2 linked regions of the Drosophila melanogaster genome follow. The protein of the gene in region 1 interacts with the protein of each later gene in a pairwise test. Each region holds a gene or a part of one and is shown in the gene's direction. Other genes may lie near its edges.

Region 1 (7,842 bases):
ATCCCCGATCCTCGAGAGCGGATCAAAAAGTAGCACCACACACGCACCAGCGCCGGGTTAATGGCCATAAACGCAAATCCGCTTAGCATTGCAACGCAATGGAGATTGGAGGATGGAGGATCGGAGCGAATGGAGCTGGAGCTGGAGGATCGGGAGGGAGCAGGACCACTTGCAGTCTGGAGTGGATTGGATGCTTATTAATTCATCACACGTTTCAGCTTTGCGTCGACATGCGATGGGAATGTCATCGACGACCAATGACCAAAGCCTTTAAACAAATTGGGAATTACAAAGTGCTTTGAGGTATAAATATCAGAAACACTCGAGTATCAATTCACCAGCTGTTTACTTGGTATCTGAGTAAAAGCCATAGTATCTATGAGTTATGTGAGAAATCATGAAGCCTGGAAATGTCAATAAAGTCTAGAGTCTAAGTCTAAAACTAAGGTCTATAAACTACAAAGTAAAGATAGTTACATAAAGCTTAGAAAACTTTTAACTTTGTATATGCACATGCGATAGATACTTTTTTGCTTTGCTTGCCTGATTACACCATAACTTTCTCAGATCTAGATACATGATCTTTTTAATCGGCTCGCTATTTCCCAGAATTGGAGGTCCCAGCTCAGCTGAACAGCCTGATTATGTCTATGTGCCGGAGGAATAAACTGCGCTGAATGGTTAGTGAAGGGACTAGAATCGTAACGGAGTCCGATGGGATCCGATCGGATCGAATGGGATCGGATCGGGATGGTATAGGATGGGACAGGGGCACTAAGACAAAAGAGACGATGACGCGGCGACGAAGGAGCAGAGCTGGCGGAGCAGCAAGAAGACAAACGTGGCGGCGACAACGGAGCAAGTGACAAACGTTTAGATGGATGGATCGTTCTTCATTTCGGGGGAACGAGAACTGAACTGAACCGAACAGAACCGAACCGGACCTCTAGAACGGGCGGTCAGTAACCAACCGAAAAAAAAAAGCGACGATTGCACATAAATTATATTCAAATTTCTTTGAGATCTAAGAGATATATAAAATACGGGAAAAACACACACATGCCACATGAAGTCACATGAATGGTCGGCGACCCCGAGACCCACGATCCTGGGTCTGAAAACCGAAAAACTGGAAAAAAAAATAAAAAAACTGTGTAGTTCTCCTTGTTGTGGCCTTTTTTTTAGTTTCCTCTGTTTGTTGAAATTTATGCAGATATGCGCGCATCTAGATAGGAGTTCCAGTGCCACCTCCATCTATCTGGTTACGTGGAAATCCAGCGCGCCAAAAATCAGCCAAATGCCATGGAGTGGTGAGGAGCACCTGGCATCGTCGTTCTCTCTAAAATGGTATCCCATCCAATCGTATCCCATTCATTGGGGCTCCATTAAAATTCGGCTGACAGCAACGATTCACGGCCCCAACAAATTGGAATGGGCTGAATACTATTTAGATATGGCTAGATCTGCTCAAACTGCCACTGATTGATGTCAATAAAGCCGAACAAAAGACCTAACAGCCAACAAAAGATACAGTGGGCCTTCGTTAAGTGGCCAAAATTAGTTTAAAGGGCCATCTAATTGATCATATTCGATATATAGTTTTTTTTAAGTATTTCGCTGTATATATTTCCTAACTTATACGTTTTTTAAAACTTTTAGTTCACTGCATCTCTTTCCATATATGTATGTATCTTAAACATTTTGTATCCATACCTTGCAGATACGTCTTTAGATACTTCCGTCACCATGGGATGCTTGACCCCTTTTTTCCGCTTCCTTCTGCGAAAATTCTGCTGGTCGTCGGCAATTGTGTTCGGTTTGTGTTTTGCCTCCACTCGAATTAGTGGCTGCGTTTGGGATTTGTCTAATTGGAGGAGGCGACGGGCGCTTTGATCTTGCCACATGTCCATCAAGTACACTACATATATGTATGTATACACGATGTACATATTATTATATGGTATATAAGACGTACGGAGAGGGGGAAAGGCGGTAACCGAGAACGGAGGAAGTTGCTCGCTTGGAACTGAGAGCGCTGTCAGAAATTGCCAACTGGCACATTAATCCACGCGACATATTTATGAGTGTAAATGTATCTGTGTATCCGCGAGATGCGAGATATAAAGATATCGGCCGGCAAACGTGGGACATGGACGAGGGTTGCTCGTTGCTCGCTGCTCTTTGCTAAATGAGTGCACATTTCAGATAAATTATTGCACACAACTTGTACGCGATGGCAGGCCGAAATGTATTTAACAAATTAAATTTACACACAGATACACACACCGCGGCTCGCAAGACTTCAAAGAGGGCGCCGCAGCGTAACGGCCGCCAAATGGGGCGTGGCCTCGACGGGCCAATGGCAACGCGCCGCTCTCACAGATACACAAGCAGGCAACCCCATAGATACACCCATACGCATGCAGGCCAGAGAGACAGACAGAGAGCGTATTTGTTTTTAGTACACGCAGAAAAATGAAGTTCTGTTTGTGTTTTTTATTTTAATGTTAACTAGTAATTTTAGTCAGAACCTTAAGTAGGGAATTATATTAAATCAAATAACCGAACTATTTCTTCTTTGAAAAATATAACATTTGTGATAAGAAGAAGTGGCTCTTTGCTACAACAACTAAGAAAGAGTTACTATTAGAATTGTATCTATAACGTTTAAAGTGCCTAGATTTTTGTCAAAGTGCATCTGGCAGATACGACAGATACGCGGGGCCTGTGGCGAGTATCTCATCGATTTTTTAAGCGTCGGAATGCGTGGCACGAGACAGAGACCCCTGTCACGTGACAGCACCGACATGTATCTGTATCTTTGTGTGTGCAGCTGTGTGTATCTGAGCCTGTGAGTCCCATTCATGCCACTGCCACCGAGATGGCGGATTTGTTAGATACTGGCATGGATATTGAGATACTTCGCTGCAGCCGGGCCAAACTGCACTTTCAGCGCTTTTTTTTTTATCTGCCCGAAGCTGTAAATATCCGCGAGATTTACAACGCCAGCCAGCCGCGACTTCGGTATCGGTATCAGTATCGTTTGGCTGACTTCGATTCGTACTCGGAATCGGCATCGGCATCGGCAGCGGCATCAGGCTGGGGGTATCGCTATTGAGCGCAGCGCATCATTCGGTCAGCAATTCGCCAATGCAGATACTGTATCTGCGGGCAGCAGCTACTAAAATTGAAGAGCCAAAAGCTAAAATACCCATATACATACTCGGTACACCGCGGTCATCGTCGTCGTCGTGCTCCACTTGTGCCCATTGTTGGTTCTGCTGTCACCGTAACTCACAATTGAATTGTTCCTTTGTTCTGTCCCGTCCAGAAGGAGACCCGCTGCCGAATTTCGCATAATTGGCTGGCTTTTAAGTTGGCCGCCAGACCAAGTGTCGCCGGTAAAAAGATACATCTACAGATAGATCGTTGTACTTTTGGTACTTTTGGAGCTTGGTGGAACTCGAACTGAGTACCATGCTGGTGCCGCCGGACATGATGGCCGCCCAGACGCGCATGGTCTATCAGATGAATCGATTCTGCACGGAGAGGGTTCAGGCCAGGATGTACAAGACGGCCACCGCCATCCGGGAGATCTGCAAGATCGTCCAGGACATCCTCAAAGAGGTGGAACTGCAGGAGCCGCGATTCATCTCCAGCCTCGTCGAGTGCAATGGCAGGTAAACTTTTTCAGTATCTTTTCATTAGTATCTCAGTATCTTTTCTTTAGTTTCTTAATAACCATATATTAATAACTATATTACCTAATGTTAAGCCGATGCATAAGTTAGCTAATAAAAACGAGAGCTGCTCATCCGATCAGAGATGTCTAGTGTTCCCAACCACAGAGCCATCAACAAGATATCTGGGTAATTCCAGTGCCCTGATGACTGTCATCGCGGCTACTTCTCACTCCAGTAGTTCCACACCATTGCAATCAAATCCGATCCTCTTCACTCCATTGCGATCATTACAACCAAAGTGCAGAGTCATTGTCAGTTAACTGACAAGTCATGCTCATCGAGGTCTCGCCACCAGAAACGGAGTAGCAGTCGCCCCCTATTATACTCATTTCAACACGATAAACTATCAGATTAATATATAGATTTAAAAATATATATATAGTATTGTAAGTAAGCGGTTTCATCGAAATAGTTAACATCACTTTTACAGATTCGAGGGCGTTGAAGTGATATCCCCGAATGAATTCGAGATAGTGCTGTATCTGAATCAAATGGGTGTCTTCAATTTCGTGGACGATGGCACCTTGCCGGGATGTGCTGTTCTGAAGCTGAGCGATGGAAGGAAGCGGTCCATGTCCCTGTGGGTGGAGTTCATAACGGCCAGTGGTTATTTGTCCTCCCGGAAGATCCGTGCCCGTTTCCAGACTCTGGTGGCCCAGGCGTGCGATAAAAGTGTCTACCGCGACATGGTCAAAATGGTGGGCGACACCAGCGAGGTGAAGTTGCGCATTCGGGAGCGATTCGTGGTCCAGATTACGCCGGCATTTAAGTGCTCAGGCATCTGGCCAAGATCGGCGGCCCACTGGCCGGTACCACATCTCCCGTGGCCACATCCCAACATCGTGGCGGAGGTCAAGACCGAGGGCTTCGATCTTCTGTCCAAGGAGAGCGTCATCATGCAGAACAAGAACAACAATGCCGCCAGCATGGAGGGCGATGCCTGGGTGCTCAGCTTCTTCGAGGCCGAAAACCGTCTGCTGCAAGGTAAACATCTTATGGATACACCTTTACACTTACAGAAAAGATCACACAATTTACTAGCAACTTTTAGTATAGTTTGGGAATTTGAAATCTGGTGTATTTAAATCTCATATTGAATTCCTTTCAGGTGGCTGTCGTCGACGTTGTCTGAGCATGCTGAAGACCCTGAGGGACAGGCATCTGGATTTACCAGGCAATCCCATCAGTGCGTATCACCTGAAGAACCTGCTGCTCTACGAGTGCGAGAAGCATCCGCGGGACTTTGAGTGGGACGAGGGCTGCATCGCTGACCGCATCAATGGGATATTCCTGCAGCTGATATCCTGTCTGCAGTATCGCCGTTGTCCCCACTACTTCCTTCCCGCACTGGACATGTTCAAGGGTAAATCCCCCAGTGCTTTGGAGCAGGCGGCCAAGCAGGTGTGGCGCTTGACCCGCGAGCTCCTCACAAATGCCAACGCCTTTGAGAAGTTGTAAGGTGTCAGAGGTTAAAGGTCACGACTGGTCGATAATGGCGATGACATTTTTGGCAGGAATTTATAATTATTAACCGCACTCATAGAGTGAATATTGTTCTTATTTTTTTACCCGTTAGATTAGATTCTTTTGCTCCATTCACATATTGTTGATTTGACTAACTTCTTCTTGCAGTCACGCAAATATCGACCCATCCGAAGTCGGGGGAGTGCTGATGTGTATGAGGTGCCAGGCAAGTCGGAGATGAAAGGTACATATGCGAATAAATACATACGCATAAGCACAGCTCCTTGGCGGCCATTTTGTGCCATGTCTGTGTATATGTGACTGTCTGCGTGCGTGCGCGTGTGTGTGTGTGTGTGTGCGAAAGTGTTAATGCGAAGATGCGAGATAAGTCCACTCCCCATTCGACTCGACTCGACTCGACTCAACTCGACTCGATGCGATTCGAGATATATATCTGCCCATCCAAGCGATCCGGCTAAGCCTCGAATATTGTTTTTAATAACTCGCCCCTCGACGCTCACGACACATCCTTTGTTTGGCCGGCGAACAATGGACTCGCCGGTTCGCAAGTCCGGATGGAAAAATCGAAAAATCGAGAGAATGAAAAAAGAGCATTTGTCCAGGCGGCTCCTTTTACACGGTGGCTATACACACTCGACGTATACGATTGTTTCACAGTTCGCAGATCCTAGATCAAAGCAAAACGAACATACAAAAAATATATAATATATACATATAGCGCTAGAACAGAGGGAGATACAGATTCCATTGATCGTTCCAAGTCCAACTTAACATTGTTTTACTACTTACATATACATATACACATATTTATGTATGTCGATGTCTATTATGCGATGCCTAACATTTACCACGATTATCCGCAGTTTGTTTTAAGTACAACATAATCCTAGATTGCTAATGTAAAAAATGCTTGAATAAATTCAAGGATAGCCAAAGGCAACACTCCAGGTATTGTTTTCCTATCAATAGGGATTGTATTTTAAATCACTTGATTGCTTAGCAAATACTTACACAACACTTGCTGAAAGAACATGGAGAGTTAAAAAATGGATGTTCTTAACTGATATTCATATATTTAAATGAGGCTGACAAACGGAAGATGTACCACAAAAAAAGGACAAATCTGGAAAGGATGTGCTGGGATCTCATTAGTTCGATCGGCGGTTGAGTTAATGTTATGATTATTGGCAGTGGCGAATATTTATTTGCAAACGACGACATATCTGGATCTGGATGTGGATCGGAATCGTCTTGGGATCTGAGGCTGGGAAGATGCAGCTGCTGCAGCGACAACTGAGCATCACTTTTATTACCCTTATTTATGGTTATTTTCTGGCGGGGGCTGGATCCACGAAAACCGAGTGGTTTGCCTGCTTTGTTCTGCGGTTCTTTTGTCCCTTCGCTTTACTTTATTATTTTTCGTTTTTTTTTTTCTTTCTTTCTTTTTTTTTGGATTTTTTGCGGAACGAAAACTTTCAGCGAATGTAATCGATATTTTCCTCGATGGACGCGTCGACAAAAGGTGTCTCTAAACGGAGAGCACGGGATATAATCAGCGTCAGCACAAAGAGCCAGTTGGTCGGAGCGATTCGAGTCCAAGGATATGCCAAGGATATAATAATGCGTGGGCCAAAATAACAAATTATGCCAAGGCACGCAGGGATCATGTTACGCAGCCCTCCATCACCAGCAGTAACCCCTGTGCCACTAACCCTCGACTGGGTGGCTTTGGCTGTGGCTCTAGCTTTGGCTGTGGTCCTGTTCTTGGTCCTGGGAAAAGCATCATCAGGTGACCGAATCGGTATCCGAGTCCGCAGGCGAATCCTCCGCAGGATGCGCACTTGGCCGCCAGCGGGAGGACACGTGACTGCCTGTTTTCCTTAATTTTCATTCACTTTGTGGGTGGAGATGCGACCAGAACCATGTGCCAGTTGCTTCGCATCGATAAGGCACGATTCCCATTGCCCCGTTGACAAATGGTATTCGAGAGGCCATTTAATGGGGGCCAACAGTTAGAGCTCAGTTCGAAGTACCAGGAACCATGACGCAGCACCTGCCCATTCACATGGCCAAGTCCCAAAATCATCCTGATCCCGGGCAGCCTTCTCATTTGATCGGCTGTCACAACTTTGGCGAAGCCACAACAAAATATTGTCGCTTTTCGCCGCTGGATTTTGGTTTGTACACAGATACCCTGGGAATTTTTGAGCATGCTTATAAATCTATCAAAATTGTGAAAACTTTGTGAGTGTGACTATGTCCCTTACATGGATGAAAATTTTAAAATTACAATAGAATTTGATTTAAATAATTGAATGGAAATAGTTTTATTTCACTTCATTTATTTTTTCCAAACAGGATATCTAATGTTCGAATCTTGCGAGTCAATGCTCGTCAGTTTTTTTCCTTTTTGTTTTTCTCGTTGACATTTATGCGCACCCGCCCTCCAGTTTTCGTAGCTCCTGACTCCGTATCCTTCCGTCGAGACCTGCCACGCCCCCAGGCGACTCGTGGGCGGTGACAGGCGACTTGCTATTGCGATGGCGTCGCATTGTCCTGGCATTTCGGGCTTCTGTTTTCTGGGCTCTGGGTTGCGTTTTCTGGCTTTGTCGCA
Region 2 (5,168 bases), 5.6 Mb from region 1:
GAGCTAAGTGCCCATGTAAAGCGCATGCATGCGGCAGACTTTACGCCCATCATATGCGACATATGCGGTACACACTTCAGGAGCAAGGCCAACTTTCTCATCCACAAGAAGGCGTTGCATCCGGACGGGCCGGTGGCGGAGGTGCAGTGTACCCTGTGCGGCCGCTGGCTGCGGGACGAACGGAGCCTGCGCAAGCATCTGGCACGCCACGATGACCGCGACGGCGACACCAAGTACCGATGCCTGCTCTGCAATGCAGAGAAGTCATCCCGTGCCGCACTCAGCAGCCACATGCGGTACCATCACTCCGCCAAGCGGCACAAGTGCAGTCTCTGCGACAAGGAGTTCAAGCTGCCGCGGGCATTGGCCGTGAGTTGACCAGCGTATCAGATTCTGATCGTGCTAATCCCGGAACGTTTTCATTACAGGAGCACATGGCCACTCACACGGGCATCGATCTGTACCAATGCCAGTTTTGTACGCGCACCTTCAAGTCTCATGCCAACATGCACAACCACAAGAAGAAGATGCATCCCAACGACTGGGTGAGAAAGTACTCGCAGCCCAGCAGTAGCATTACCTCCACAGCGGCTCCACTTGCTCATCCCAATCATCCTAACCAGCCTGCTCCTCCAGCGGCAGCTCCGACTAATCTAGCCGGGCACATGCTGCCGCCACTCGGTGGCATTGCCAAGTCGCTGATTGAGATACCCGATACCGAGGGCTTCGATTTCGGCAGCAACAGCTCCGTGTGCCCCACGCCCGACTGAATCTGTGTGTTGTGTGTCTGTGTTTGGTGTCTGTCCCTGCGACTTTGTGTACACGTTCCCTGGTCGGGATTTATGTATAAAATCGTACAAATAAACTTTATTAATATACAAATCCAATGACGCTGAGTTAAAGTTAGGATTCGTCCTCTGGCTCATCGGGTTCCTCCTCAATTTCCGTGAGAATGGTGCGTATCTTCATAAGCAGCTCCTTTTTGACGGCATCCGGGACCAGGGTGCGTGCCTTGGGTGTTACCTCGGCGATCAGCTGCTCTACGGTGAAGCTGTTGTTGGTGCCCTTCTCCATCAGGATGTTGCGGCACATCAGACGCACCTCGTCCCGCCAGCCACATTCCGTAAGGCGGCTGCAGAGCAAATCCTTGATCTTGGAACGGTCGCCGGTTAGCACCGTGTACTGATCAACTGCGCCGGAAGTGCTCATCCTTGTGTCGCGTATCTAAGTCTTGCAAATTACCAAGTTTCCTTTTTCGAGTCCTTGTCGATTTCGCAGCGTCTGTTTTTTTGCTTTTCTTCGCTGCATCTATCTTTTTGAGCTGTGTTTTTGTTTTGTTGTGTTGTGATGTTGGTACAGTGGTCATGGCAAACAGTCTGGCTACTTTGTAGCTAGTTTTTAGATACGGACATTAATCAACTTTAAAGAAATGAAAATATATTACCAAATATATGTAAAGTTTTAAAAATTTTTAGTTTAAATTGGAATGTATGCACAATTCGTATGTTTTCGGTCATTTTCCTGGGTCACTTAAAATTTAAGCTGCTTTTAAGCGCCCACTCTGGCATCTCTGTCGCTCGAAGTTTATTCAGCCTGGCAGTCTGGCAACACCTCGGCGACGTCTTAAACTGAATTTGCGAGGCAATTAATTGAATTAATTGCTTTTCCTACAGCTGTAGTGCAATGATATGCCGCCTGTGCCTGGACGATGCTGAGCACAGTGTGCCAATCTTTGACCAGGATGACTCCGGCGATCAGCCAGTGCCCTCCAATCTAGCGGAGCTAATTGAGAAACACCTGCAGTTGGTGGTAAGCAGTGAATTCCGTTTGAACCACCAACATTTGTTAATGACCAGATTGCATCCTTGTTACCAGCTCCTGCCCAACGATGGGGTGTCCAAGAGCCTCTGCACCCAGTGCTGGCAGCAGTTGGCCGACTTCGAGCAGTTCTGCGCCATGGTGATGAAGAAACAATTGGGCCTGCAGCAACTGAAGATGGAGCCGTTCTCCGAGGACGAGGATGCGGACACTAAGGCGCAGATCCTGTGCGAACCGGAGATCGATGTGAGTCCCGCGGCCGCCGACAACGAAGAGTGCAACGAGATCGACGGCGATGCCAGCAGCAACAGCAGAAGCAGTAGCATTCGCACCACATCGCTACGAGAAATGCGCCTGCCGTCGCCCATTAGACGCCGTATGCGTCTACCCCGGGCAGTCACAGCACCCAAAACTCAGGCTGTCAAGGCCAAGGCCAGGACGAAGACCCACAAGGCCGAGGCGGACGAGGATGAGGATGCCGAAGGCGAGGGCGATCCAGAGAGCCGCAGCAGCAATAGCCGCGAAATGGACAGCTATATCGCTCTGCACGGTCGTTTGGAGTGCTGCATTTGCGGCGGCGACGAACAGTTTCCCAATTTCGCCGAGATGAAGCGGCACTTCCGGAATCATCACCAGTCCCTCGGTTATGTGGTCTGCTGCCAGCGGCGCTACAAGAAGCGTGCCCTCTACGTGGACCACCTGCACATGCACAACGATCCGAATTACTTTAGGTACTTGACCAGCCCAGGCAATTGATTGAATCCCCCTACTAATGAATGAACTGTGCAGGTGCAAGATCTGCTCCAAGCAACTGGTCAGCCGGATTAGCTACGATGTACACATGCTACGCTTCCATCCCAACAAGGACGACCTAAGCTTCGCGTGTGATCAGTGCTCAAAGCGGTTCTCCAAGCAGTTCCTTCTCACCATTCACTCCAGGGTGCACCAGCAGGAGCGCAATGAGCAGTGCAAGCACTGCGACAGATCGTAAGTGTAGGCAGCAAGTAGAAGAGCGAATTGATGAATTGCCTCTATCCGCCCACAGCTTTCGCACCGCCGTTGACCTGCGGCTGCATATGCGACGCACCCATGACCCCGCCTTCGTACCCTTCATCTGCGACTCGTGCGGTGCCAAGTTCAAGACGAAACAGAACCTGCTAGTGCACAAGCGGACTGTGCATCGCGAGGGCTCCCAGCTGCCCGAGGTACAGTGCCAGGAGTGCCAGGTGTGGCTGTCCGACGAGAACAGTTTGCGCAAGCACATGTACATGCATCTGGATGCCGCCTCGCTGCGTCAGTGGAAGTGCGAGCAGTGCGGCCTGGAGAAGGGTTCGCGGGCCAAGCTGGCGGCCCACATACGCTATCATCATCCGAAGGAATACCACAAGTGCACGCACTGCGCCAAGGAGTTCAAGAGCAGTCGCAGCCTCGAGGAGCACACAGCCACGCATACCGGCCAGGATTTGTACGAGTGCGCCTTCTGCGAGCGCACCTTCAAAAACTCGGGGAACATGCACAAGCACCGCCGCCAGATGCACGCCGCCCAGGTGGCCGCCCTGCAGCAGCAGAAGAAGGTGCCGCCCAGCAAGCGCAAGGACAAAGGTGACCTGCTGCTCGACGTCCTGGCCGCTGGAGGCAAGGATATGAGCCACGTCATGGGTGCGGGCGACATGAATGACTGATTGATTCTAAAAACCAAATAAACTAGATTGGAATGACACATAAAACACATTTAATTCGAAATAAGTTTGGGTATTATTAGCTTATAATATTCAAAAGTGTATTTTGCAATTGGAACGAATTTGGAATCCCGCTATTTTCGGATTCATGCAGTTCCCATTATATTTTATTCGGTATTGGAATCCCGCTATTTTCGCATTCATGCAGTTCCCACTATATTTTATTCGGTATTTTCGCAGTCATTAGTGTGGCCAAAACTCGAAAATATCAAGGGCTAGAGCAGCTAGATGTTGCGGCATTCGCGGCCTGGTCACACTAAGCTAGGGCTACTTTTTATATCATAAGTCGAGCGTTTAGGTAAGCGAAACAAAAAGAGCTTTAGTTAGAGGTATTAGTTTGGTTGCTATTATTTCTAAATTGAAAACTTCACTTCCTTTGATCCAAAAGACACTGAAAAGACACGTTTGCAGTTGAGTTCATTATTTTCTGGTATACATACACACTGATTACTCATTCAATTGGCATTTTGCTCTTGTTTTTCTCCGATTGCCTTGCACTCGCATAAATTTAACACAAAAAAGAAGTTCGGGGTGTTTAGAATCCATCCACTTGGTACAGTTCCCATCGAGCTGGTGAGTACTCCGCGCAGTGCAACGTATACACACTTGAACTCGAATTCTGGCAGCAAAATGGTGGTGACCTATTAATAACACCCGCTCAATTTTCCCTCGCTTTTCCATTCAGTCTCCAACTAGCTGCAAGTGAGTACGTTACTTCCGAGATCCTCTCCAAAAAAATAAAACATAAATCCAAATCCAACCAGTGTAGCATCCATTGAATTAGATTTTCCGACACGTTGCGCCTATGACAATCCTAATTCCATCCTCTTCTCTTTCGTTTAGGTAGCTCGGATGGCCATCGAAAGGGTAAATTGGTGTTACATATAGCTTTAGAGATCGTTTCGAATCACATTGATAATCGTTCGAAACGTTCTCCGAAGCAAAATCAAGCAAGAGTAACGATTTCCGCATAGTCGAAAATGTTTAAGTTGAATTGTCTTACGGACAGTGAGATGAGTACGACTATTTGGAAATCACAAACGAATTGTTTTCATGGTTGACGCGCTTGTCAAGCTACAAAACAAAATGAATGATATACAATATACAATATACAATATGCAATACAATACAATACAAGACAAAAAAATGTGTCTTGGAACGCAACATTGTACAAGTCGCAATGCAAACTGAAGTCTTAAAAGACGTGTAAAATGTTGCAAATTAAGCAAATATATATGCATATATGGGTAACGTTTTACGCGCCTTAACCAGTCAAAATACAAAATAAATTGGTAAATTTCATATAACTAGTGAAATGTTATACGAAACTTAACAATTGCCAAATAATACAGATCGATTTAGAGCGAGATGACAATAGAGAGGCGATCTCTCTCGTATACGAGTCTTGAAAAGAAAGAGAAGGCGAACGGTGCTGGCTTAGAGAGAGATGGCAATACTAATTAACTGCAAATACATTTCCGCCATTTTGTTGGCGCTAAAAGTAACGGAAATTCGAGATGCTTTTAGGGCTGCCACCTTGGTTTCCAGGGTGACCAGAACTGACACTTAAATTACATATGACAAATAAAGACTTATCTGCTATTGCAAATA

Evidence for each region. Proteins that work in one complex are often made in the same cells at the same time.
Region 2: the proteins of CG4766 (region 1) and CG11695 interact in a two-hybrid assay, tested with the Drosophila melanogaster proteins (2 studies listed by BioGRID).

What each region holds. Positions count from the first base shown.
Region 1 is NC_004354.4:5,995,832-6,003,673, reverse strand, and holds CG4766 (uncharacterized protein), read left to right. Parts: upstream 1-2,876; 5' UTR 2,877-3,477; coding exon 3,478-3,680; intron 3,681-4,173; coding exon 4,174-4,727; intron 4,728-4,851; coding exon 4,852-5,201; 3' UTR 5,202-6,166; downstream 6,167-7,842.
Region 2 is NC_004354.4:11,575,270-11,580,437, forward strand, and holds CG11695 (uncharacterized protein), read left to right. Parts: upstream 1-1,613; 5' UTR 1,614-1,683; coding exon 1,684-1,809; intron 1,810-1,875; coding exon 1,876-2,549; coding exon of another isoform or gene 2,550-2,574; exon of another isoform or gene 2,575-2,607; coding exon 2,608-2,805; intron 2,806-2,863; coding exon 2,864-3,500; 3' UTR 3,501-3,537; downstream 3,538-5,168. Other genes in the region: CG11696 (uncharacterized protein), read left to right, coding at 1-369, 429-770; e(y)2 (enhancer of yellow 2), read right to left, coding at 904-1,209.